Coturnix japonica: one gene and its partners. The protein of the gene in region 1 interacts with the protein of each later gene in a biochemical or structural test. Links are inferred from orthologs where the notes say so. Each region holds a gene or a part of one and is shown in the gene's direction. Other genes may lie near its edges. The genes, in order: PTPN3, RPS6KA1 and sodium channel protein type 5 subunit alpha-like.

Region 1 (10,292 bases):
CCAGTTCACATAGCTCATTAGATGGCTTTCAGATTTTTAGGATGTGGTGTTTAAATGCTTTCATTCATCCCAAAATTCTCAGGCACCTATTCTTACATGCTGTTTTTCTCTTTGCTGAAAAGATTGGAATCAACTCTCACTGTGTCTTCTATTTCCAGAGGCGGGTTAGCAACTTTAATTCCTGACCATCTTCATCCATGTGCAGATGACAGCTAAAAAGAGAAAGGGAAATATATATATAATTTTAAAAGAATTTTCTCTGTCATTCTTATATTACCTTTTTGCAAGTACACTTTTTTCTTTTTTTTTTTTTTTTTTCCCTAACAGTCCTTTCCACTGAAATTTAAATCAGAACATGCTAATATGGGAGGGTCCTTGACAGGCTGGAAAGCTGGGCTTGGGTGAACCTAATGAGGTTCAACACGGCAAAGTGCAAGGTTTTGCACTTGGGCCGGAAGAACCCCAGGCACCTGTACAGGCTGGGAGGAGTTGTTCTTGAGAGCAGCTCGGCTGAAAAAGACCTAGGGGTCCTGATAGATGAGAAACTTAACACGAGCCAGCAGTGCGCTCTGGCAGCCCGGAAAGCAAATGGGATCCTGGGCTCCATCAAGGAGAGGGGTGGTCAGGCAGGGATAGGGAGGTGATCGTCCCTGCCTCTAACTCTGCGTCTTGTGAGGCCCCATCTGGATACTATGTCCAGGTGTGGAGCTCAGTACAAAAAGAGTATGGAGATCTTGGAAAAGGGTACAGAGGAGGGCCGACAAAGAGATCAAGGGGCTGGGAGCACCTCCCCTATGAGGACGAGGCTGAGGGAGTGGGTTTGTTCAGCCTGGTTAGAGAGAAAGGTTTGCGAGGTGACCTCATTGCAAGCCTTGTCAATACCTGAAGGGACACTTACTCCCAGGAGGGGAGTAAACTTTCTGTCGAAAGGGCTGATAATAGCAGGACTAGGGGAAATGGTTTTAAGTTTGAAGGAGGGAAGATGATTAGGTTGGATGTTAGGGAAGTTCTTTACTGAGAAGGGTGGTTAGGTCCTGGAACAGGCTGCCCAGTGAGGTTGTGGATTGCCCCGTCCTTGAGGTGTTGCAAGACCAGGTTGGACGGGGCCCTGGGCCAACAATGATCTAGTAAAGGTGTATGTTTGGTGGCCCTGCTAGGCAGGGGGGTTGGAACTACATGATCCTTGAGGTCCCTTCCAACCCGGGTAGTTCTGTGATTCTGTGATTCTGTGATAATATGATTCTGGGTAGGAGTTTGCAAATGTCATAAAACTTTTGTTATTGGCAAGTCACCTACTGCAACTGCATGTAATCAGACAAAGCAAATGCATATATATTCTTCTGCAAATGTAGTTCCAAATGCTTCTGAGCTTGTGAACTAAGTCACTAAGTGACTGAGTTCCTACTATAAACTACCAGTGCAGTAACCTTAGGACATCTTAGAACATGGCTCTGTAATGGATGATGGAGTAAGTAAGTAGGTTATACATTTACCAACCTCCTGGTCTGTAATAAACCTGGCTGGCCACATTAAGTCATGCAGAGAATGATGTTTTGAGACTCAGGTAAGTTTTCAGAGTCTGACAGTATCATCTTGCAAGCAAGGGGCATTTCACAAAAAGCTATTTCCCCATAGTCATTCATCTTCATTCAGTTCAGCATTGCCCAGCTTTATCTCTGAGCTATCTCTCATGCTAAGCATTATCTGGGATTTTAGGTCAAGTAGGGGAGTGGATAAGCACATTTTTATTGGGAATATTCTTACAGGAAAAGGATGCAGAAGGAAAAATGCAATTACTTGGCCTCTTCATTAAATATACTGTTAAAGGTTTTGCAAGTCTGTCTTAATTTTCAACCCTATGAGGTCTTCAATCCATCATCTTAGGAGTGCTGCCATCATTTGAGAGGTCTTTAGTCTGTGAGTGAGAGTACATGGGCAGTCGTAGCACATGTGGAGGCAAGAAGGCGACAGCATCTCCATCATGCACTGCCCTGGCAACCACTGTTTCCTCAAGTGACCAACGATTATTTGCTCTAAATTCCAGGGAAAATTAATTCACTGTCATTTCCTTTACAAACCTCCCCACTAAAGAGAGGCCCCTCAATGAGCTACACTGCGGAAGTAAGGTGAACAGAAGCAGCTCTCTCATGTTGTTTGTTAAAGTACTGAAGCAAATACAAGACTCCTATTTGAATGAATTCAGCCACTGAAAAACACAGCTTTTCATCAGTCTGTTTGAGTCTATTTGCACATGAAAAAAAAACCAAAAAACTAAAACCAACCAACCAAACAAACAAAAAAAAAAACCCACCAAACAACAACGACAACAAAACCAGCTCTTTGCAATCTTTGTTGACTTTTATTTTTTTAAAAAGAGAAGGGGGGTGAGTATTCAGATCTTCTGAGTCTAATGTAAACACTCACTGGCTGCAAAATGAGAAATGTTATTTACCCAGGTGAGAGAGAAGCAGGAAACTGCCATACTACATCATTCTCCACTAAGGAACCTCTTGTGGACCTGCCATTTCCGGGAGGATGTAAAGTTCTTATAAGTGAGAATTGGTTTAGATTTTTTCTCTCAGCAAAACAGAAACTGGACTTGTACTGAATTTTATAGAATTATTTTATTTATTTATTTTTTTACAGCATAAATAATCAGGTTATGACAATAAGGTCACACTCCTTGTATAACACGACACTTGGCATGCATGCAATCTGAAATGCTCACTGCTCATTGTCTGCCTCATCCCAATATTTTACAAGTGTGCAATAATGATAACTTCCTCTTTCATGTGTGTTTTGTGCATAGATTTCAAAGCACTTTCTAAAGAAAGGGAGCTGTAATTATCTGTGGTAGAGATGGGGAAACAACAGAGAGCTAAAGCAATTTGCCCAATGTGACAGGGCAAATTAGAGGCAGAGTCAGGTGTAAATCCCACGTCTACTGCTTTTTGGCTCTTTCCTAGCCACAGCCTCACTTGCACTCAACAATGCTTGGGGGTGCAACTGCAGTAGGAAATGGCTATGGGGATACTTTTTGATGTGCCCTAATGTGGAACTGGTGCAAGTCATAATGAGGGGCCACTCTTGGCATGAGGTCAGCAGAGAACTGGTAATTAAACTGCATGGAGCTTTCAGGGCCATGCTGGGGGCTCTTTGCTGAGACCTATATAGGGGTTGTGCTAAGGCAGAGATTTTTGTGGTTGCTACATGGACTTAGCTTCTCTGCAGGCAGCACCAGTAACCTTGCATTCTCCAGTCTGTGTATCTAAGAAATCACGGCCACATGGTTTGCATCAGTAGCAATCAGCGCTATTATTCATGGGGGCAGAGGTCTCTATGGCAGAGATATGGGGTTGTTTTATCCCACAAGAATCTATGCCCTGTGAGATGCAGAAGCAGACCATGCCACCTGTGTGCATAGCAAAAGGCTTGCTGCTCTCCCACGGTGCAGAAGCACCCAACTTATACCGCTAGCTGTGGTTTATTTGGCATGTAAGACTGATTCTAAATTACTTCCTGCACGTTCTCAAGCAGCTTCCCTTTAAAGTGCAGCAGCTGTGACATTTTGCAGGTTCTGTAATTTCAAATGAGGCGCTAAGAGACTACTCCTTTCAAAAAAAGTTCTTTTAATGAAGGTGGGTACCTGTTGCAGTGAATCAATTAAAGCTCTTCTGACACACAAGATGCGTGTTGCCAGACCTGCTGCACAGGTTTGTCAGGAGGAAGGATAACATGTGACAGCACACAGAAGCCAAGAGGGCTGGAGAAGATCAGAAGCTCGCATGAGCGAGCTGAGCTTTCCAAAATATTTTCTTGAAACGCTATTCAGAAGACCCCTGAACTCTCTGGCAGGCGGCACCATGGTGGAGCAAGAGATCCTGCTGTCGTGTGCTTATCCTCAAGAAAAGTGTAAGTGACCAAATGTGATTTTGTATGAGAAATGAAAGCAGGACACAGGAGAAAGGAAATGAAAGAAACGATCTAGCTATTATAATTGAAAAGGCAGAGGGAGTACAGGGGAAATGCTAAAGTGAGGAAATAAGGAAGCTATTAAATTTATATTGTAGGGATGCAATTGAAATATGATTAGTGCCTTTACAAGCAAAAGAAAGGATGCTTGTATGAAGAACTTTGATATAAAAGCGTCTTGAGGAAACTTGCTTTAATGTTTGGCTTTGTGCTTGTATTTGTGAGGTACTACGATGTGGCACTGCAGGTGTGGTGGAGAATGTGAACAGTGTGCTCTGAGTAACTCAGACGGCAGCTTGGGGGACTGCAAAATCTTTTTCTGGGAAGTTATAGTATGGTGAAAGACAAAAATGGAGGTGGTTGTTGTTTGACTGTACAAACTGTCCAGAACTTTATGCAAATGTCAGCTGAGATTTACAGCACAGTTCAAAGATTCCCAAATCAATCCCTCTCTCCCCAAAGGAAGGTTTAACATAAATATTATTTATCTTACTAGAGACCATATTACAGTCTGGAAAGAATAACAAAAATCTTTGCACGTGTTTGGTTATAACAAGATTTGGAGTATCTAAAAAGTATTCTGAAAAACTCGGAGTTCAGCTCCCAAGGTGCCCAAGAAGAGCGTGTCAGGCAGGGAGGGAGGCAGCTGGCTGCAGGAGCAAGGCACTGCGCCTGGCCTGGACTTGTCTGAACAAAACGCTCAGCAGAGGCAAGAACGGAACTGGTATGTCCCGAAGCCACTCCAGTGTGCCGCCTGAGCAAAGTTCAGCGCTAAGAAAACCTTCTCTCTTTGAACTCCAGATACTTCACTTTTTGAATGGGTTGGCTTGTTTTGGCAACACGAAGAGGATGTTATTTAAAGCTTACTCCACATGGAAGGATTGGCTTTGTTCTGGATGTGTGCCTCTGTGCAGAGCTTGGTGCTGGCTAAGAGCAGGGAGGGCTGGGATGCCAGCAAAGATGCAGTTTACCTGTGGAGAGATGACTTCTCTCACAAAGCCCCAAATGCAGAAGACGACAGAGAATTAAATTCTTCCTGCTGATCTGAGTTAGGAGCCAGCCCGCTTGTAGCCAGCCAGCCTTAAGGGGAACCAGAGTTGTGGTTGCTTTGCTATGGAAAACCAAGTGCTTCCTTTGCTGCTGACTAGTTGCTATTAGAGGTTTTCATAAACCTTTACATATGCAGGCTATCAGTAATTTATTTTTAGCTTTGCTGTAACATAAACAACCTGAGTGAATGCTTTTCACTTCCTTTCTTTTTTCTCCTTTCTTTTCCTTTTTAAAAAGCAGATGAGCCATTCTGGGTTAAAATCATCCAGTTGCCATCTATGAAAGACAGAGGGTGAATGGAGTTCAAATTGCACAGTTTTGTATATTATATACAACTTCACACTGCGTGTCATTGTTTTTGCATGTGTAAGAGAGAAGGATTTCCCAGTCAAGCTTGGCTCCCAGTAATGCAGAAATGTGTCAGCTGCAACGCATGCAGCACTGTAGAGTCTGAAAAATATGCACAGAAAAATCATAAGAAACACAAAGAAAGTAAATCCATAAGAGGAAGGAAGCCAGGTGATACCGCAGGATGCACAAGCTGGGCTCTCTAATTACATCTTCTGGTGGCATGAGTCAGGACTGGTCGCCCCCTGAAGCCACTGGAGTTGCTCCATGGGCTGAAGAAAGGGCCACGTAAAGAATCAGCCTTGGCATTTAGAGCATTAAGCACTTGCCAGGAACAGGTAGTACATCTTCCTGACACATTAACCAAACACCACTGAGCACTGAATATCTCAGTTCTGGTCATGAAGGGTCAATCTACCCCAGTAGGCGATGCATTTGAGCTCAAAACTCTGTGCTTTTGTGAACTGGTCTGAAAAGTTGAACCATTGCAGATCTTAGCTTAAAGACAAAACCAAGCCTTTTAAGAAATCCTTCCTGCTGTATCAAAATGGGCAAGGGATGTCTTTGTGAGTCATTGGCTATGTATCTGTTGCTATGTGAATTTAACAAGACACTCGAAACTTCATACCTGAAGTGCCTAGCTGTCCATGACAACGTATTTCCATATGTGTGTCCTGTTTATTGTCATTTATCTCTATAAATGATTTTCAGGGGAAAAATAAGACGTTTTATGGTGAGCTTTTTTTGTCTTCCAAAACATGCTGTGATGCTTACAACACTGAAGATTAGACCATTGTTAGTCATATATTTTCTATAGGTCTGCATAGGTTCAGTGCTTCACTGCTAAGGTATTCACTCCACAGGTGGACACTACATTTTCCTTGTGTTGTTCTGTTTTTTTTTAACTGATTACTTTGTCAGGCATCTCATCCAGTAGGACCATCTCAAGACAGATATGACAAGACCAGGAAGGTAGCCTGTGCCCTGTTGTTTCAGGACATGTTAAAATCTTACCAGCTCTTGCTACTGTTGTTTCTTTTTTTTCTCTCCTGTATCAGAAATTATGAATTGTCAAAACAGTGTTGTGTGAGGCGCATGTACCTTGGGTAGGCACAGCTGCCTCGCTAGGCTCAGCACCACCATCCATCCTTTTCAAAACCATTATTCTCACCCCTTTTGGCAGAGATGGATTCTGAGGAATATACCATAAATTAGTCATTGAAATGGCTATTATACCAGTTAGAACAAAAAATGTATGTAATAAATGTGGTTTCTTTTGGAGTTGTGATAAACTTCTCGAGTGGCTTCACAGCTCTTCTCTATCTTGAAATCCTTTGTTTGTCTGCTCTTTTTGGTAATATTCTTATATTGCCAGAGCCCAAATATCTATTTTTTTCATAACAGTAGGAAGGCATGTGAGAAAAGGATTCTGGTCTCAGCCTTTTAAAGAGGAGAGGAAAAAAAGTAACTTCACCCGGAACAAAATTAACCTGAAGACACTTTACAAATAAAAAGCACTTTTGTGTTGTACTTTAATTATCTGTAACAGAATTAAAAACCACCAAAGGGTTGGTTTTTGTTTTTTATTTCAGTGATTCCAAAATAATAATAATAATAATAATAATAATAATAATAATAATAATAATAATAATAATAATAATAATAATAATAATAAATATTCTCTTAATTTGAAAATAAACATGAAATTGCACTGTAATTTCAGTGAGAAGGCATTTGCATTTGAGGCTGGTTTGGTACTGATTGTTTTATCTGTCATAAAGTGTCAAATGTACATTTTCAGGATGGTTTGCCTAGATTTCAGGTATGAAAAAGTAATCTAAAATTAATAGATTTCATTCTTACTCGTAAGAGCATCATTGCAGAGTTATGCATGCAGTCATGGGAGGACGTGGGAAGTTCTCTGTGCGTCTTGAGGAGGCAAAAAATAAAATCCCTTTCCAACATAAACTGTGATCCCATGCAGCCCATGCCTTCCCTCACTGACACCTAGATCAATGACAGCCTGTCAAATTCTTCCTTTTTTTTTTTTTTTTTTTTCCTTTCTCCCTCTCTCTCCCGCCCAAAGAAAACTGTTAAATTCTAAGTTTTAGGGAAAATCATTTTCAACTACCTTTCAACTATTCATTATTTTCAAATCTAAAATCTCTTGTTTGACTGTATCTGTATCTACTTTGACCACTTAAACGAGATCACTCTCTGGGCAGGAGTAATTCTCTGTTAACTACGCAACTGTTTTTTTGATCACTTAACAAATTTGCTGGTAAAGACTTTTTTTATTTTGTTTGGAGTGTGCACTGAAATATGAAGTCATATTTCAGTGTAGAGAACTGATACTGGGTGGACTACATGAGAAAAAGCACCACTTTTTGTCTCGTGGACCTCTTAAAGTTCTACTGCTGAATCAATGTTTGGCCATATAATATGCACTCTGTAGGCTCCTTGTACATGCCCATTTTATATCAAAATTCCCTGCAGTGTTAAATCAGCTGTCTTGGAGAAATCAAAATATACTGCCCCAACATGATTACTGTTCTTGACAAGACCCGTCATATCGTCAAAACAAAAAACTTATTTAAATAGAGCTGTTTTCCAGGGAACTGTGGTACCTGACTGTCAGGTATTTTGGCTCTCAGTTTTGATAACTTTTGATAACAAATTAATACATCGGTGTTCTTCAACCTGATCTATAGCAATAGTCAGATAATAAGAAACAAAGTTGATTTAATTCCTTACTTTTTTGAAATCCAAGTATGTCCAAAGGAATAAAAAGTAAAGTGAAAACAAGGCTTAATTAATACACGTGCTCTTCATATGCTCCTCATCTGAAAGCCACGTGGAAAGCTATTTCCATGTGAATTCCTCTCTGTTGACTTATCTCTGGAAGAAAGGCTTATGTAAGGCATGGGTGGAGTTCAGGTAGAAATGTAAGCAAGATTGAGCTGCTCAGAAGTGATTGAGAAGTGTACTTGGGACAACTGTTTATATTCACCCTACGTAGTCCAGCTGCTAAAAACTTCTCTGAAAAACACATAAAACGGGTATAACCAGTACTGGCTACACGTTCTGCACACAGGCGATGTTAGCTGTCCCAGAAATGTGCCAGGTTCAGCTGGAAAAGGATTCAGAGCAAACACTTAAGATGTGAAAATCCTCTGAGGGCCTGGCAGCTGCATCAAGGATGCTCCAGAGTCCAGAGGACGCAGGGACTCTGCCCACGCAGAGACCTCATGTTTAGTGTTTTGCTGTTCCTGCTGCTGTGGTAACGTGGGTGGGAATGCAAGCAGGGAAGGCTACCAGCAGCTGGATGCATTCAGCAGCTCATGCAGGACAGGCTCGGAGGGAAAGCTTTGCAAGAAAGGGAAAATTTGAGGAAGAAAACAGCAGAAAGAAGTTGAAAATGGGCCTGGAATATGTTTGCCATTCTGCTCAGTGCACACTTGGTGTCTCAAAGGCACACACATCTATGTCCTGCTGAGATCCTGGCTCTTGGAAGGCTTTCTGGATCTTTGCAGTATTTCTCCTCATTGCATATGTGAGGTTTCTGCTGCACTGGAGATTTCTGAGGGACACAAGCTCTGTTGTAGTGGCTCCATGAGGCTGTTGATAGCAGCAGGGTTTGCTTATCTGCATTTTTCCTCAACAAAGCACATCCTTTCCTCAAGAAAAAAACAAACAAGCACACAAACAAAAAAAACCTTTACTTTTGCTACTGTATTTTAGGCACAATTATGCTGTTGATTTCAATACCATGATGGCAAAGTTGTCACAGAGTACTGAGAGCAAAGCTTTGCATGGAGTTTTCTTCCAGAGAGTTGGTCTAGCTTAGGACAGCCTTCGGGGGGGGGGGGGGGGGGGGTGTCTATCCCTCTCCTCTCATGAAAGAAAGATCTAGGTGTAAAATCCATTACAGATTTTTGAACTGGGCATTTGACCTGATGTTTAAGACTGAAATCCCAACAAAGCTGGTGGAGATTAAGTTCAAGGACTTATTTGTCTCTTTAGTTTACTGGGAGTCTCTAGCTGCATTTGTCTGCATGTCCTGAGTTGTCCCAGCCTCAGGTGCAGCTGAGTGAGCAACTCAGGCCTTAATTTGTCTGTATCACCAAATGAAGTATACCTGCTAGAGGGTCAGTTAGCCCCATATTGCCCCTCAGAGCTTACCCAGCTTTTAGGGATCCATTGCTCACCACACATGGTGGCTGTTGCTGTTTGCTGATGAAATACCAAGTTCATGTTGTTCTTGTCCTTTGGCCTAGCAGTAAAGAGTAGTTGGATTATTTCCTTACAGGATATAGGAATTTCCATGAACATGTCCAAATCTATTCAGTCTCCTGACAGTATGCCTGCCTGAGGGGAGAGGATGCTTTGACACCAGGCTGCCCTGTCCAGGACATGCCACCCACCTGGCGGTGGCCATGTGTTGCCTCAGGACAGGCCTGGGTTTCAGCTCCATTACTAGGACCTTTGTAGTTCAGATAAAGCACTAGTGGTTAAAATGCAACAAATCAAGTGCAGATGGGCCAGAAAACTTGGATGTCCTCATGCCAGGTGAGTGTCCTAAATGTGACAAATGTTACTCAGTTGCTTAATATGCTCTTTCTCTTTATGGACTAATGAATCCTGAATTCAGTTGTGTACAGTTGCAGCTGGAGAATGAGGTGCATACCCCTCCAGCCCACTCACCATGACCTACTTTTGAGCTGCTAATTGCATAATCCATATGAGAGGGGGAGGGATGGAGTTCCCCTCTTTAGAAAAAAAAAATACTAAAAAAAAAAAAAGAAAAAAAGCCCACAAGGATGTATTTTGGAAGAAATCAGGTCCTGTCTGAAAGTAAGTATCTCCACATGGCTCTGCCAGATGTATTTGCATGTAGGTCTTTATACCAGCTACCTTTATTG
Region 2 (4,122 bases), on another chromosome or scaffold:
GAGCAGCAGAGCTGGGAGTGCAGTGGGATGTGGCACAGAAAGGTCACCTTCATGGGACCTGGCATGAAAGTGCAGCAGGTCACCAAGAGTGGTGTCTCATTTTGTTCTCCTCCCTCATACTCCTCTACGCATTCCCAGTTGGTTTGCATGCAGAGTAGCTGGAAATCCAGAACAGGAGCTGCATTTTGCAAACAAACATAGAAGGTAAGCGGGATGCCAGCACTGACATCATCGTGTTATCGATGCCATTTAAAACAGGTTGCAATCTGCAGCAGCTGGAGGAGGGATGCAAGCAAACGGCACACCATGTACCAAACAATAAGGGTAAATTATGGACAGCTTCGGAGCTGAATGAATAACTCTCCGCAAGATCTGCTTCAGCTTGCTCCAACGGTAAGTGACATCAGTTTAATTGGCCTCATTTAGCACCAGCCTGGTGGATCTGTGTTATTTAATGCCTTCATCTGCAACTCAGTGCTTGCAGCACAGAGGGGTGCTCCAAGCACAGACAGCAGTGCTGGGCTCACATACTTTCACCGTGGGAATTTCTTACATCGGATTCCTGCACGTGTGAACAAGATGGGCCTAGTAATGGCTCACAGATCAGTTCTGAGAGCTGTGAGGATGGAGTGGAGTTTCTCAGCCTGCTGTGCTCTGTTCTACTTCAGCTTTCTTCACCTTCACCGCCTCTGATCAGCTCACGGCATTCGGGCCTCACAGGGATGGCTTCACGGGACAGAGTGCAGCAGCAGAGCTGTGTGCTGTGCTTTCCCTTGGGCTCATTAAATGATATTTCAGCCACACCTTGATGAAGTCAGCCCTTAGCAATGCACCCTTTGACGTGGTTATTTGTTTTTGTTTTTTTAATAACAAATCGTTTTAAAGAGGTTGAAAACGTGGTACTTTGGATTTCAGTAAAAGCAAGAAGACAACTCCTCCTGCACGAGAAACCCGGCAAACCCAAACAGTGCCGCATGTGTTCTGAGCAGCTGTGCTCACAGTACCTTTCCTCCGAGCATCCACCGAGGCAAAGCGGGGAGGGGTTCGTTACCCGTATTCGAGGAGAGCACCGCGATCAGCCACTCATCTCCAACCGAAGAATCCAAAGGTGTGCGTGGATATACACACGATCCTTCATTCACGTCGCTGCCTGAAGGAAAAGCGCAGGGCGGGGGTGGGTCAGGAAGGGCTTAAGGAAAGGCTCCGCACCGCAGTGGGCTGCCCAGGGCAGCGAGCGCAGCCGAGCGACGGTTCCCCGAGACCAGCTCGGAGCCGCCCCGGAGCCGGGAGGAGCCGCGCCGCCCCCCGCCCCGCCCCGCCGCTCCCGGCCCGGCTCGGGCAGCCGGTGCCCAGCGCGGGGCACGGAGCCGAGCGTTGCCGCGCCCTGCGGGGCTGCTCGCCGGCAGGATGCCGCTCGCACAGCTGGCCGAGCCCTGGCCCAACATGGAGCTGGTGCAGCTGGATACGGAGGTGAGCGGGGTGAGACGGGCGGCGACCCCCAGGGGTCTCGCGGAACAAAGGAGAGCCCGGCCGGCCTGCTCCTTTTCTTCCTTCCCTCCCTTCCTTCCCTCCCTCCCTCCGCTCTTGCCCCGCTGCTCCAACTGAGCCCCGCGGGGTTGGGAAGCGCGGCGGATCGCTGGGAGCTGCCGGCTGCGCTGCTTTCCTTCGGCTCCTCGGTACGAGCTGTGAACGCGAGCACGGCTCTGCTCTGGGAGCTTCCCCCGCCCGCCTCAGCGCTGCCCAGCCGCCGTCCTGCGTCTGTCCGCTGGATGTTGTGCGCTTCGCTCTTAACGAGCCCCCCCAGCCCAGGTGTGCGCTGCCCGCACCGCGCTTCGCACCGCAGCCGCCGCAGCACGTCGGCACCGCTCGCAACCTTTTCCTCGCTGTGGTGCAGCCGAGGTGTGAGCACAAACGGCTCCTCAGCCCGGCTGCAGCTCGCGGCTTTCGGGATGGGTTCGTGCGGGTTTTGTCCCGCTTCGCTCGCTCCCTGCCGCTCTCCCGTTTTAGACCTTCTGCCTCTTACCCCTCCTATCGTGCCGAGGGATGTCACAGTGGTTAACTGGTCAGTTTCGTTTATTCCTACTTAAAATTATCTCTTAAGGAAGCTCTGCTGGGAACGGAGGCCAGGTTGCCCAGCTGTCACAGCCAGATGTGAGGGGTGGGCGGCTGCGCCTCGTGCTGTGCACTCACCTCTGCTTGGGGTGTGGGGATGTGCCTGTGTCCTTCGGGGACTGGGTCGTGGTCCTGAGGCCATAACGTGCTCAGGGAAAGCTGGGTGTGATGGGGGGATGCGATTTGTCTGGAAAACAAACTTGGAGTGGGAGGAAACTAATGCTGGTGCCTGGGGCGATAGATGCCATGGGCAGGATTGGTGTGTCACTTAATCCTGGGGATTCGGGTGCTGGGTGGCAGCTGTGCCAACACCACAAACGTCTCCCCTGGCTGGAAGCAGCCACGGGGGCACCACATTCATCAGCCAAAGTCCCTCAGGAAGATTGTGGCAGCAGCGAGGGCTCCTCTCCCCATTGCATTAGTTGTGGATGTGTACTCTGTAAACTGCAGCTGCAGGCTGCCTTTCCCAGCTCTCCTTGGCAGGGCTGGAGGTTGGCGGCAGGGCTGGGAGCAGAGTGCTGGTGCTGGAAGGCACTTGACACCTCAGCACTGTGCCAGGTGGGACACCAGCAGCTCTGCTCCCTCGGGCTTCAGGTGAGCGATGTGCTCGGTAGCATGGGCACTCTGCACCTCTGGGCGCTGCTGCAGGCACCTGGAGCCGACAATCTGTGAATGGCAGAGAAGGACTTGGTGGAGTTTTGCACGCAGTGAGGTTCTGTTTGCCAGGGGCAGGAAGGTTCACCTTCTGTAGGGCAAGGTGGCACCAAAGAGAGAAACCAAAGAGACTTTTCTGGAATGCGTTACGTAAATCGCCTGGGATCGCTGCCATCGAGGTGTAAAGCCAGCTTCCTCCAACCTTTGCTTTCTGAGTCACGGAGCAGAGGTGCTGGCACTGTGCTGCGGAGGCACCCAACTCATTGTGTCAGGGGGTTTTTCCACTGCTCCCCAGGAGCAGCTGCTGAGCTGGTCACAGCCAGCACCCACTGTCTCAGAGCTGTGCTGAGGAAGCAGTGGGAGGGTGAGCTGTCCTGTGGACTGAGCTCGCTTCATCATGCTTCCTTCTGTTTACAAGGGTGGACAGTGATAGGACAAGGAGGAATGGTTTTAAACTAAGACGGGAGATTTAGGTTGGATCTTAGGAGGAAGTTTTTCCCCAAGAGGGTGGTGACACACTGGAACATGTTGCCCAAGGAGGCTGTGGATGCCCCATCTCTTCAGGCATTCAAGGCCAGGCTGGATGTGGCTCTGGGCAGCCTGGGCTGCTGGTTGGTGACCCTGCACACAGCAGGGGGTTGGAGCTGGATGAGCATTGTGGTCCTTTTCTACCCAGGCCATTCTATGATTTCATTCTATGATTTCATTTATTCCAGTTCTTTTATTTTTATTCCCTGCTCTATTTTTTTCTGCCTATTTGGAATGTTGCTTATGTGGTAGAAAAACCTGTGTGGGGCAGAGCACTAGAGATGGAGCAGAGCTGAATGACTGCATTGCCATAGTGATGGGAGCTGCCATCATGGCTGTGCATGCCTTTAAACTCTTGTTGTCATACACAAACACAGAGCAACACAGATGACATGAGATTACGACAAACCCAACCACTCCAAGCTAATTATTTTGGCCTGTGTGTGTGCATCTGCTCATCCCTTGTTGAGCAGAAGCTATTCAGGAGTAACTGTCTTTCTCTGTGTGCATTTCAGCTTAAAAGTGAAGACAGTGATGATCAAAGGGGAGGAAGCAGAGAGGTTTCTGTCCATGATACACTTTGAGCACTGTCTCCTCTTGCGTGGGGAACTCTGGAGGGAAGAGCTGGAGATGGTTGTTTTTGCAGAGTTCTGTCCTTTCCCCTGTGCCATGGGGTGATGTGTGTTGGCAGCACTGAGAGAAGCGCACAGCCCGCATGGTGCTGCCCGTCCTGACATTTGTCCTCCTTACGTATCAGAGCAGCGGTTCCCTGTTCTGTAAATTGCTCCTCCACATGCTTCAGATTAGGTGGAATTAAAGGGATTTAAA
Region 3 (10,108 bases), about 42 Mb from region 1:
CTTGTCCCGGTGTCTCCCTCTGTTTCAAAGGGATTTATAGCAAATAACAATATTATTTTTTGCCCAGTAGAGGGAAGTATTGGCTAAACTGAGCATTGCCTTTGAAAACCCAATAGCACCCAGTGCTCCAGCAGCTTCTTGTACCACTGAATAAGAGGTACGGTAGCAAAAGGCTTCATAGAGAGCCATGGTCTGTGGAAATCAAAAGTGCTCACATAAAAGGGGGAGGGCAGGCCTTTCAAATTTAAAAGAAAATGTGTGTGTATATATAGAGGCAAATTAAGTTTTGCAGGATTCTGAGGAATTGTAATTTTATTTTATTTTTTTTAAATTTATTTTAAGAAAAAGAACAGTATGTTTCGAACCAAATCTCTCCTCCAAACTCTCTCGTTTGCAAGAGCTGCGTGTCTTTCCAATTTCTTTGTTTCCTTAAAACAGGTGGCAACAAATGTGTGGGGATTTAGGATGAAAGGTTCTATAAATACCTTGGAACAATAAATGGCTCTTTGTAAGCAGCACTGCTGTCTGTAATTCCTTTAAGAGAGCAGTGAATGCTTCAGAGGAAAAAGGTGGGTTTTTGGAGGGAAGTGAATAGAAAGATGACATCAACTGATCTCCCACGTAGTATTTACTTTGCTGCTGGTGCTTCCATCTGACATACACGTTTATTGGGTTTCAGCTGACTCATTTGAACTTCTTCACAGACGTTGCGGTAAGTCAACATTACCTGAATGCTTCTTGCAGATTTGGGTGAGGTAACGCATGTTTAATCAATTTCATCTCTTTGATCAGTCTGTCTATAGGGCTGCAGTTAACGTGGTTGCTGTATGATGAGTTTTTCCATTATGAGTTGTCTGTGTCCCAAGGATGCTTTCTCCTTGCTGAGCGAGTTTGTTGCTGCACAGGTCCATATCCCGCCTTGATGTGCTGCCCTTCAGCATAGGGGTGCATTTCCATAAAGCAATGCTTTTGGGGAGGAAATTTATATATAGCAATTGAATAACATGTGTATGCTTGATCTGGAATCCTGGGGGCAAGTTTTTCTGGGCTCTCCCTAGGATGGGATATGGGGGATCCTCTTAGTCCTGGCATAGAATGCATACAACAGATAGCTTTCCCTTCCTGTCATTTTCCCTCTTCTGTCTTTTTCCCTACCTTTCCCTTATTTTCTTTGTTTCTTCTGTAAATAGTACTCTGTGTTTCCTGTAAGCTCTGCTCAGACTGAGCTGATTTCATTACCAGAGGATCAAGGATTTGCTGGTGTTAGGAGTAATTTCTCCATTTCTAAAGGCAGACGAAATGAGGATGGATCTTTCTTGTGCTTCTTCAGGATTTTACAGTGCTTCTTTCATCCATAAGAAAGAGTGGCAGAGTTGAAAACTTAGAACAGTATTGTTCAATACTGGCTGCAAAGGAGAGAACAGCTGGTTGGACCAATGGACGGGAACTTCAATGAAAGCTCAGGGGCTTTCCCTTCTGTTCCTTGGCTGTGACTCTAAACCTGTGGCGCTGAGGTGCTGGATGCTCCCCTGTGCCCTCACACTTAATTTCTGGGACCAGGCCTGGCACAATCACTGGGACTACTAAAGAAGGAATTGGGGAATGAAGCCCCATTTTCAGCCTCATGCATGGCTCTGTGGGAGCAGTCAGCACGGTTCTGAGCTTCCTGCAGGGATGCTGGTCCCACTGCCCCATAGCTGACTTTGTGTACTTTAGAGGATGTCCTTTCCCCTGCACAGCCACCATTCAGCTTCATATGGAGTGATTGATTACAAAGGCCCTTCTCTGAAGATTTGTCTTCCTCTGTCTCCTACCTCCTACAACATCCCGCATTGCTGCAGGCTTTCAGGGGTGGTTTTCCCATCAGGAACCTTCCTTCCTGCTCACATCCACCCTCCTCCATCTTCACCCACTTTCATTTCCCTTTGTGTTCTTCTTTTTCTAGTCCCAACCTTTTCTTCCTTGCTCCTTCTCTCCACCTGCCCTTCCCCACGATAAGCTTATTCATTCTATTTTCCAGTTTGCATCTATGCCAATTCTGATCTCCTTATCTGTTAATTTCTTTGGATATGAGCTTCCTTCTGAATTCAGACCTTCTCATTGCTCACCTTCCTAGTGCCACTGCTGCTTTTTGGGGCATCCTCAGTACTTTGCTGACTGATCTGCTCTTTTCCCAGCACTTGTGTTGTAGAATTGATATCCAGCCTTCAGCTGCTTTCACAGCAGTGTTTCTTACTGCTCCAGGTTCATTGTAGATCAGTTTCATGCACTGCAGAGCCCATCATTGGGCAGGGGAAGCACTGCTCATTTCTCTGTATACACTATTTTACCTTGTTCAGAATTGTGAGCATTTTTTGCAGTTCTTCAGAAGTTTCTTCCAGTTCTGCAATCCTGAATACTTCAGTATTTCTAACAAACTGCTGCTCCTCTCTCCACCTATGAGCTTCCATTTCTGACCATCTCACTTATCACCAGGCAGATTATTTTGTGGCAAAAGTTGCTCTATTTGCTCACTTCCACTTCGTCCTGTAAGCATGACCCAGCCTCAACTCTTCCTTAAGGACTGAAGCACTTGGGGCAGAAGCTTGCAGGAGTGCTTACATTTGGTTGTGTTTGGTTGTCCATGGGAAGAACCAAAGCCAGCTTTGGCACTACTCAGCCTGTCCCCTTCCCCTGGTTGTTGGTGTCCTCCTGTCCTGTGTACCCCCAAGCATCTCTCCTTGCTGTCAGACAAATCCTTCCTTCAAACCCCCTCAATTCCCTGATGGCAACCCACAACATTCATATTCCCTGTTCTTCCCCATTCCACCTTCCTTCCCAGTTTTCTCTATTCCACCTTGCTTCCTAGTCCACTTTCTCCCCATTTCTTTATTCCCAATTCCTCCTTTCCTCTCCTTCCTCCCTTTCCCTCTTCACTTCTTTTCTCCCTCTTCACCCCTCATGCTTGCCTATCTTTTTCCCATCCCTCCTTCTTCCTCACATTTCCCTCATCCAACCCTCTTCTCCATCTCTTCAACCTCTCTCTTCTCTACCCATGTGTACTCACCTTCCTCTCCAAACTTTTTCCCTCTGTGTTCTGTCCCACCTCACCCCTTGTTTCTCATCCTTCTCCAGGCGTGCTCACCCCTTCCTTTCCCCAAATCCCCTTAACTTCCTAGTGACAACCCCAAACTTTCATCACAGTTCCACCCCACCTTCTTCCCCAACCTTCACCAGTCTCCTGTATCTTCAGCTCTTCTTTCCTTCCTATACCTTTTCCTTTTTCAATCTTTAATCCTTTCTTGTTCCTCCCTTCTGTTCTCCATCCACCTCTCCTTCCCTTCTGTGCTTCGCCCAGTCTACCTTCACCTCCATCCTTCCTCCTAATTTTCTCCCCCCAGCCTTCCTTCTGTCCCTCAGTACCTTTTCTTTTTCCTATTTTTTCTTCCCCAGCCTTTCTCACCCTTCCATTTTTCCTGACTTTCCATCTTTTTCCCCACCCCATCCCTCTCTCCTTTGACACACCCCTCTCCATCCCTTCCCACCCTTCCTCTCCACCCTTCCCCTGCCATTCTTTCCCCTCCCTATCCCTCCATCTTTCCTCCCCCTCCCCACCCTTCCCTCCCTTCCCTTCCCCATCCTTCCTCTCCCCCGCTCCCCCTCCCTCCTCCCACCGGCGGCAGAGGGCGCTGCGGACCCGATCCGCCCCAGCCCGGCTCCTCTCTGTAGGGCGGGGAGATGCGGGAGGTGCCTCCCTTCCATCCCTCTGCCCTCCCTCTCCCCTCCCTCCCTCCCCCGCCGCCCGGCCGGGGCTGCGCTCCCCCGGCTGCCGCACACGGCGCGGCGGCTCCGAGCCATGAGCCCTACGCGGCGGCCGGGCAGAACGCCCCGCAGCCGGGCCCTTCCCGTGGGACGGACCGCTCGGGGACTAAAACTCTTATGGATACAATGAAGTGGCTCTGGGACTCTTGGTTTAGCAGGAATATTTAAATAAACCAATGTAAGTTTCTCTTTTTTGTTTGCTTGTTAATAAAAAAAAAGAAAAAAAAAAAAAAAAGAAAAAAAAGAAAGGAAAAAAAAAGCATAAGGAGAAACCCCCCTTCCCCTCCTCTCCCCCCTCTTCCCCTCTTCCCCCCCCTCCCCCGTCCCCCCGAGACGTCCGGTTCAGAGCGAGTCGGAAGAAAGAGGAATTTGTTGCGACGGGATTTCCCCCTTCCCCAAACTTTCCCCTCGAGGTGGGACTGGTGCCGTCCCGTCCAGGCAGGGCGAGGTGAGGCTTCGGGAAGGAGAAGTTGGCTCAGCAGAGCTTGCGCCGGGGTGTGGAAATGGTTTAGATGTGGATGTAGATGTTGTGCTGGTGAAGAGTAACTCTGGTTGGGAATTGGTCTAGATTCTGTCTTGCTTCTGCATCCAGAAGTGCCGGAAAGAGACAACAACACAGAAAATACTCTGCAGATTGTTTGGTGAATGTCATGTGGTGTCGGATGGCTTTGAATGGAATTTTAGTGGCCCGTTTAGAAGGGAAGAAATAAGCTTGAATGGTTATTTCCGCGGTGGCAAGGAAAATTAATCATTCTCATGTATCATGAGAGCGTTACTGATATTACTTGTAAGAACTGCCATAATATATTAAGCATATGTCTTAATAACACCACTCATCTCAAAGCCCTTTGCGAAACACCCGTACTTGAAACGTTTGGAGTTTTTCCAGCACAAATTAAAAACTCTGCTCGGCTTAAGGAAGTAGAGGAAAACAGGGAAAGCTGTGCAGCACACTGACAAGGTGATCATGATTTGATCAAGGCTGCCCCGAGGGGACCGGTGACATACTGGGAGCACCGTAAGAGAGAATGAAGGCTAAATTAAAGCAAAAGTTATGCAACCAAAGTGTGGCTGCATATGGGAACAAACCAGACCTTCTTTTTTATTTAATTTTTAATATATCTTTTTTTTTTCTCCCTGGATATTTGGGTGAGAAAGTGGAGATGAGCTTCTAAAAAGCAGAGAGATGCGTGAGCTGTGCTCACCTACGGCAACAGGTCTTGCTTTGCCTGGAAAGGATGAGCTGAGCTTTGAGAGTGCTTGAGCTGAGCCTTTCCAGCTGAGGCTGGGGCAGCTGCTGATCCTGCAGACGGGTGTCATATCCACAGCTTGTGGCCCCGATTTTATTTTTTCTTTTCACCAGGGTGACGAGCTGCTATTCCCAAAATACAGGGCGTATGGTGGAATAAAGGCGGCGATTCAAAGAGGATTTGTCAATACTAAAAATAAACAGGCCCGCAGATGTGTCCTAGGGGGTCACGTCCAGTCATAGCGTTTTCAGGGCCGATGTGCCTATTTAGTGATTTTGCGTGAGCGTGTCCTGTCCAAGGTGCTGAAGTTGATTTTGCTGATATTTCTCGGGATTTGAGGGCTTTGCACGAGTTGGTTTTGGGAAGCTTCCGCTTGTCTTGAGGCGGTACGGTTTGATTTGGAGGGTCCCTCCTGGGTGGCACAAAGAGGAAGCAGGGATGTGTTTTCAGACACGTATATTTGATCCGTCCTTTTGGCGTGGGAAAGCAGGCCAGGTGGAGCTGCAGATGGATCCAGCAGATCCTATAAGCTTTTGGTGGCAGAGAACTGGAAAGGTCAGAGCTTTAAGGCAGCGAGGAGTGAAATTCCCTCATTCTAGTGGACCAAGAAAGTGGTGGTTTTGAGTGTCTCTGCTGTTGTTTTGGGTTCCTTGCCTCTGATGAGATGCCTTATTCCAAAAAAGTTGAGGGGGAGCCTCAACTGGGTTGAGGGTAGAAATGATGCAAATGGGACTGGAATGATACCCGATGATTTTGATAGTATTTTTATTCTTCTTGTGTAGCATCTAAAAACAGCAAATGTGGTTGTCAGAGACCTTCAGAAATAGTCAGTCCTTAAGGGAAAAAGTGTGTCTTTTGGGGAAAGTGTCTCAAAAATTAAGCAATGGAGTCCTGCACTGCAAATTGTTGTATTTTTAGATTAATGTGCCAAAAGCTCTCAGACTTAAGTAGTTTAGTTTATGTAATCTTTGGTATGAGACAGACCACAGTATTGCCAGAAATGAGTATAGTGGAAAATATTATTTGTCTTTGCTTGGTGTTTGATGTTGTGATGTGCTTCTCATCAGTTCTTGAAACTAATTTTGAGTCCGTTCATAATGTAGATTGGTACTTTTTAAGACTCTCAAAGTGTTTTACAAACACAGATGATCAGACTTTGATACCTGAGTTTTTTGTGGATAAATAGTTCATGCTGCGAGGAGTCCTGTAGGTTTAAAGCACACAAAAAGTCTGTACAGTATGGTAGAGTAACTGATGTTGTTTCATATCCTCAGTCACTCGTCAGAGATCACAGAGGAACTCAGTTGCATCATTGTCTGTGTACCCTAAATACCTTGACCATGAAGGGTGTATGTGGATCATGAGGCTTCCTGACTCTGTGTGACAGCTTATGAGGATAGAGTCTAAAAAGTGCAACACAGTGGAGAGCATTATATTCCTGGTCTGAACCAGAAACTAGTCTCCGTTCTTGCTATGATGGACTAACTCCTGTGGGACTAGCACACAACTCATGAGACTTACACAGGCTACAGAGAACAGTTGAGTAGTAACTGCATTCTTGATTTAAATGCATAATCAAAATTATGTTTAAAATTGTACTGACAGGAAATGACATTCTCAGAGGTGCAGGAGATTTATGAAATAGAACTAGTTTAATTTTATGTTAAAAATCTTGTGGTTTCTTTTTTTATTATTATTTTTTTCTGTATTGGACAGGGATTTATCTCTTCTTGACTGTTTTCTTTACCATTTTCAATTGTGTATCTTGAAGGAATGCTCTGTCCATGTATGTGAGGAAAGAACTTTTAGGCTTGCGTGCTAAAGAATGTTGAGTGGCTGTTCTGAAATCGTGGTCATGTTTTTTGAAAGAAACAGATCAATATCTGTTGCTACCTTGGTTTACTTTTGGAAGCTCAATATGACAAATAGAAAGAGACCTTTTGTTTTCAGAGGGCGGATGCTCAGTTTTTCCCAAAAATTACTACCTTGTAAGTTGTCTCCAATCATCCGCAAGAATTACTCTGAGAAATTATAGGTCTGATAGTTAAAAAGTGGCAACAAGTAATTTCTCAGTTCAGTTAAATGAAGCTCCTATTTCACAAAGGCGGTATATCTCTGAATTATATGCTTAACTTCTGCTTCTGTTTACATGCTGTCTTGTGGTAGAGCCATAATCAATGTGTGAAGCAATTTATATTTTGAATTCTATAATTGCTTCTCACTTTTACTGTCTATTTTTTGTGCTTATCCCATTGCTTAAGATACTCAAGACCAGGTTGGATGGGGCTTAGGGAAATTTGATCTAGCAGGAGGTGTCCCTGCCTGTGGCAATGGGGTTGGTACTAGGTCATTTTTAAAGTCCCTTCCAACCTGAACCATTCTGTGATCTGAACCTGGAGGAAAACTACATGAAATCAGTCAGGTATATTCCTTTTAGCTTAGGGTGACTGTCTTGTCTGTACTGTCACACTGTTCAGATAAACGTGATAAATATTTGTTTATCTTTAAACTAACCATTGTCTTTATGACTGAACTAAACTCCTGATTTGTTTTCTACTGATCTTTTATTATTTATTTTGTGAACCAACCGTTGGGCCCACTTTCACCTGGCTCTGTCTCTTTGTCTCTTTGGGTTTCTCTTGCGAAGTGACAGTTTCTAAATCAGGAAGGAAATCAGGTCACATTTCTGGCTCTGCAGGACTTATCTCACTGCTCTTCTTTCAAAGTAATTAGAGTTACTAATAATGAGAAAAAGAAAACTTTTTTTTTTTTTTTCTTCAGAACTGGTATGTTCCTAACCCCTCTCTCCTGGCTGTTTTTTGTGTCACAGAAGAGATAAGAGTTTATTGAGGAGGCTCCTTTTCTCCATCAGACTGTGACTTCCTTTAAGTTGAGCTGCAGGTGATATGGTCACCCTTACAAAGATACCCCATGTTCCTTAGATTAGCTGAGTTTATTTATTCCCCACTCATTCTGTTATGGGCTGCCCTGTGGCACTGGGTAAGAACCCACGATGGAGCTGGTTAGATCTCAGCCTGGGAGAAGAACAACGTACTGACCAAAGCTGACTGTATCCCAATCCCTGAGCAGGCTGGGGAAATCTTGGTGGGACAGTATAAGCAGAATAGAAAGCATAATGGTTTTATTAAACACACGTAGTGCCAGCAATGACAACCATAGTTTGTACCCTTCCTATTCAGGCCTCTTATCAGTTACAATTTGCTGGGGTATACTCTCAGGAAAAATGGCAAGTGAAGCTCAAAAATTCACTCTTCCTTAATACATCCACCTTTGAGGAGATGTGACTCAGGAGGCTTCCTCTTCTTCACGCAAAATTTTCATTGATGTCAAAAGATCTCTTATTTTCCATAGCAAAAACGTGCTTCCCTGCTCTCTGTAATCAATGAAACTGTTTTTGTCTCAATTCTGCATGACAAAAATGGCTTGGTTTTCATTATTATTATTATTATTTTGTAGTTTTATAATATTGCAGTGGCTTTTTGAGTAGAAAAGCATCACACATCAAATAATGAAGTTCTAGTTTTGCAGCATGTTTTGTTACAAGTGCTGCTAAGCACCGAGTTTTCCTTTTTTTTTTTCTTTTTTTTTCTTACTGTACTTAATTAATTTGAAAGTGGAACAATTTGTGCTCTATCCTGGAAAAAAAAATAACTCTGTGCTTTACCAGGTTGTGTATTTCAACTTTCAGCTTGATTTGAACTTTCTTGATTTGCACAGCTTCTGCCAAAGAGGCTTTTTTATGGCAAAGCCCTACTAACCGGTTAGAGGTCCTTTATAAAGCTAGCTGGGTTCCTAAGGTTCTAAAACTGCTCTTTATCCAACATATGACTTGCAGATATCTTTCAAATGATGCCTTGCTAGTTTTATTCTAGCGCCAGTATAAGTACAGAGTGTTTATGAAGTTATATGGGTAGTTAATATCGGAGTGCATAACACTGGAGGCAGACTGGGGCATGGGTAATTTGTCTGTGCCAGAAGCCTGAAGTAGTCGTGGAGTTTGTAGGCTGATTTTGCTCATTAAGCTGTGGTTTGGGGCTTTAGAGAAGTCTGTTTTTCTTTTTGCTGTTTCTAAATGCTTTATATAACACTGAAACATCTGTGCAATAGGAAGGTATGGAAGAACTCGCCCATGGACAAATTCTTTCAAGACCCATTAATTGGAGATGGATTAGATAGTCCATTCACAAGGATTATATTGTTTATAATGATTTTTCAGAGATTCTTTTTCTTATTGTAATGAAATGGTCACTCTTCCCAAACAAATGTGCAGTTGTTTGTGTCTCAGTATCTGAATATGTCACCGTTCCTCCAGGCTGGCTTACAGCATGCCTACATGAGGTCTAGAAGTCGCAGGAACCAGGTGCCCACTTGACCCTGGGTAATCAGAACAGAACAGCTCATGGGGATCATTTCTGCTGATTCCAAGTAAGCAAAGTTCACCCCTGTTGGAGTTTGCTCAGGTTTTGTGCCCTACTGCCAGGCTACTTCAGTCCTCCAAAAAGCATTTTTACTGCTGGGCTGTACATTTATAACATCACATAATGGCTTGGGTTAGAGGAGGCCTTAAAGAGCATCCAATTCAAACCCCCTTGCTGTGGGCAGGGTTGCCAACCACCAGCTCAGGGTGCTAGTGCCCCATTTAACATTTGAATCCATCCAAGGATGGGGAAGACAAGGGCAGACATTGCCTGAGGGGGGAAATCCTGAAAAATACCAAGTTTTCAGGAAGTGTACTGGTGGCAATTAAACGAGACCTTTGCAATCATGTAAAGCTCATAAGGATGAATGATTCTGTGATGAAATTTTCTTTTTCCTCCCTGGTGTAGGCACCAAGAGAGAGGAATTCTAGGGGGAGGCTTTTGTGGCAGTGGGAAGCCCTTCTGGTGCCTACATGGCTGGAGATGCAGCACTGACTGTGGAGAAATAACAGGAAAGCTCCAGCCCAACCTGCACAGCATCATTAGAGTGTTACAACCTGACCCGCAGATGAGCATTTAGCATCATCCGAGGTCTGACACGTTAGTAGCTGTTACATA

What was found.
Region 2: the proteins of PTPN3 (region 1) and RPS6KA1 interact in a test that uses a peptide from one of them, tested with the Homo sapiens proteins (2 studies listed by BioGRID and IntAct). The link is inferred for Coturnix japonica from reciprocal best matches to the Homo sapiens genes PTPN3 and RPS6KA1.
Region 3: the proteins of PTPN3 (region 1) and sodium channel protein type 5 subunit alpha-like form a complex in vitro, tested with the Homo sapiens proteins (2 studies listed by IntAct, with this or other methods). The link is inferred for Coturnix japonica from reciprocal best matches to the Homo sapiens genes PTPN3 and SCN5A.

The regions. Positions count from the first base shown.
Region 1 is NC_029517.1:46,307,256-46,317,547, forward strand, and holds the start of PTPN3 (tyrosine-protein phosphatase non-receptor type 3), read left to right. Parts: upstream 1-3,755; 5' UTR 3,756-3,785; coding exon 3,786-3,912; intron 3,913-10,292.
Region 2 is NC_029538.1:170,207-174,328, reverse strand, and holds the start of RPS6KA1 (ribosomal protein S6 kinase alpha-1), read left to right. Parts: upstream 1-1,322; 5' UTR 1,323-1,407; coding exon 1,408-1,470; intron 1,471-4,122. UniProt on the Homo sapiens protein: Serine/threonine-protein kinase that acts downstream of ERK (MAPK1/ERK2 and MAPK3/ERK1) signaling and mediates mitogenic and stress-induced activation of the transcription factors CREB1, ETV1/ER81 and NR4A1/NUR77, regulates translation through RPS6 and EIF4B phosphorylation, and mediates cellular proliferation, survival, and differentiation by modulating mTOR signaling and repressing pro-apoptotic function of BAD and DAPK1.
Region 3 is NC_029517.1:4,780,649-4,790,756, forward strand, and holds the start of sodium channel protein type 5 subunit alpha-like, read left to right. Parts: upstream 1-3,770; 5' UTR 3,771-3,979; intron 3,980-6,440; exon of another isoform or gene 6,441-6,589; intron 6,590-10,108. UniProt on the Homo sapiens protein: Pore-forming subunit of Nav1.5, a voltage-gated sodium (Nav) channel that directly mediates the depolarizing phase of action potentials in excitable membranes.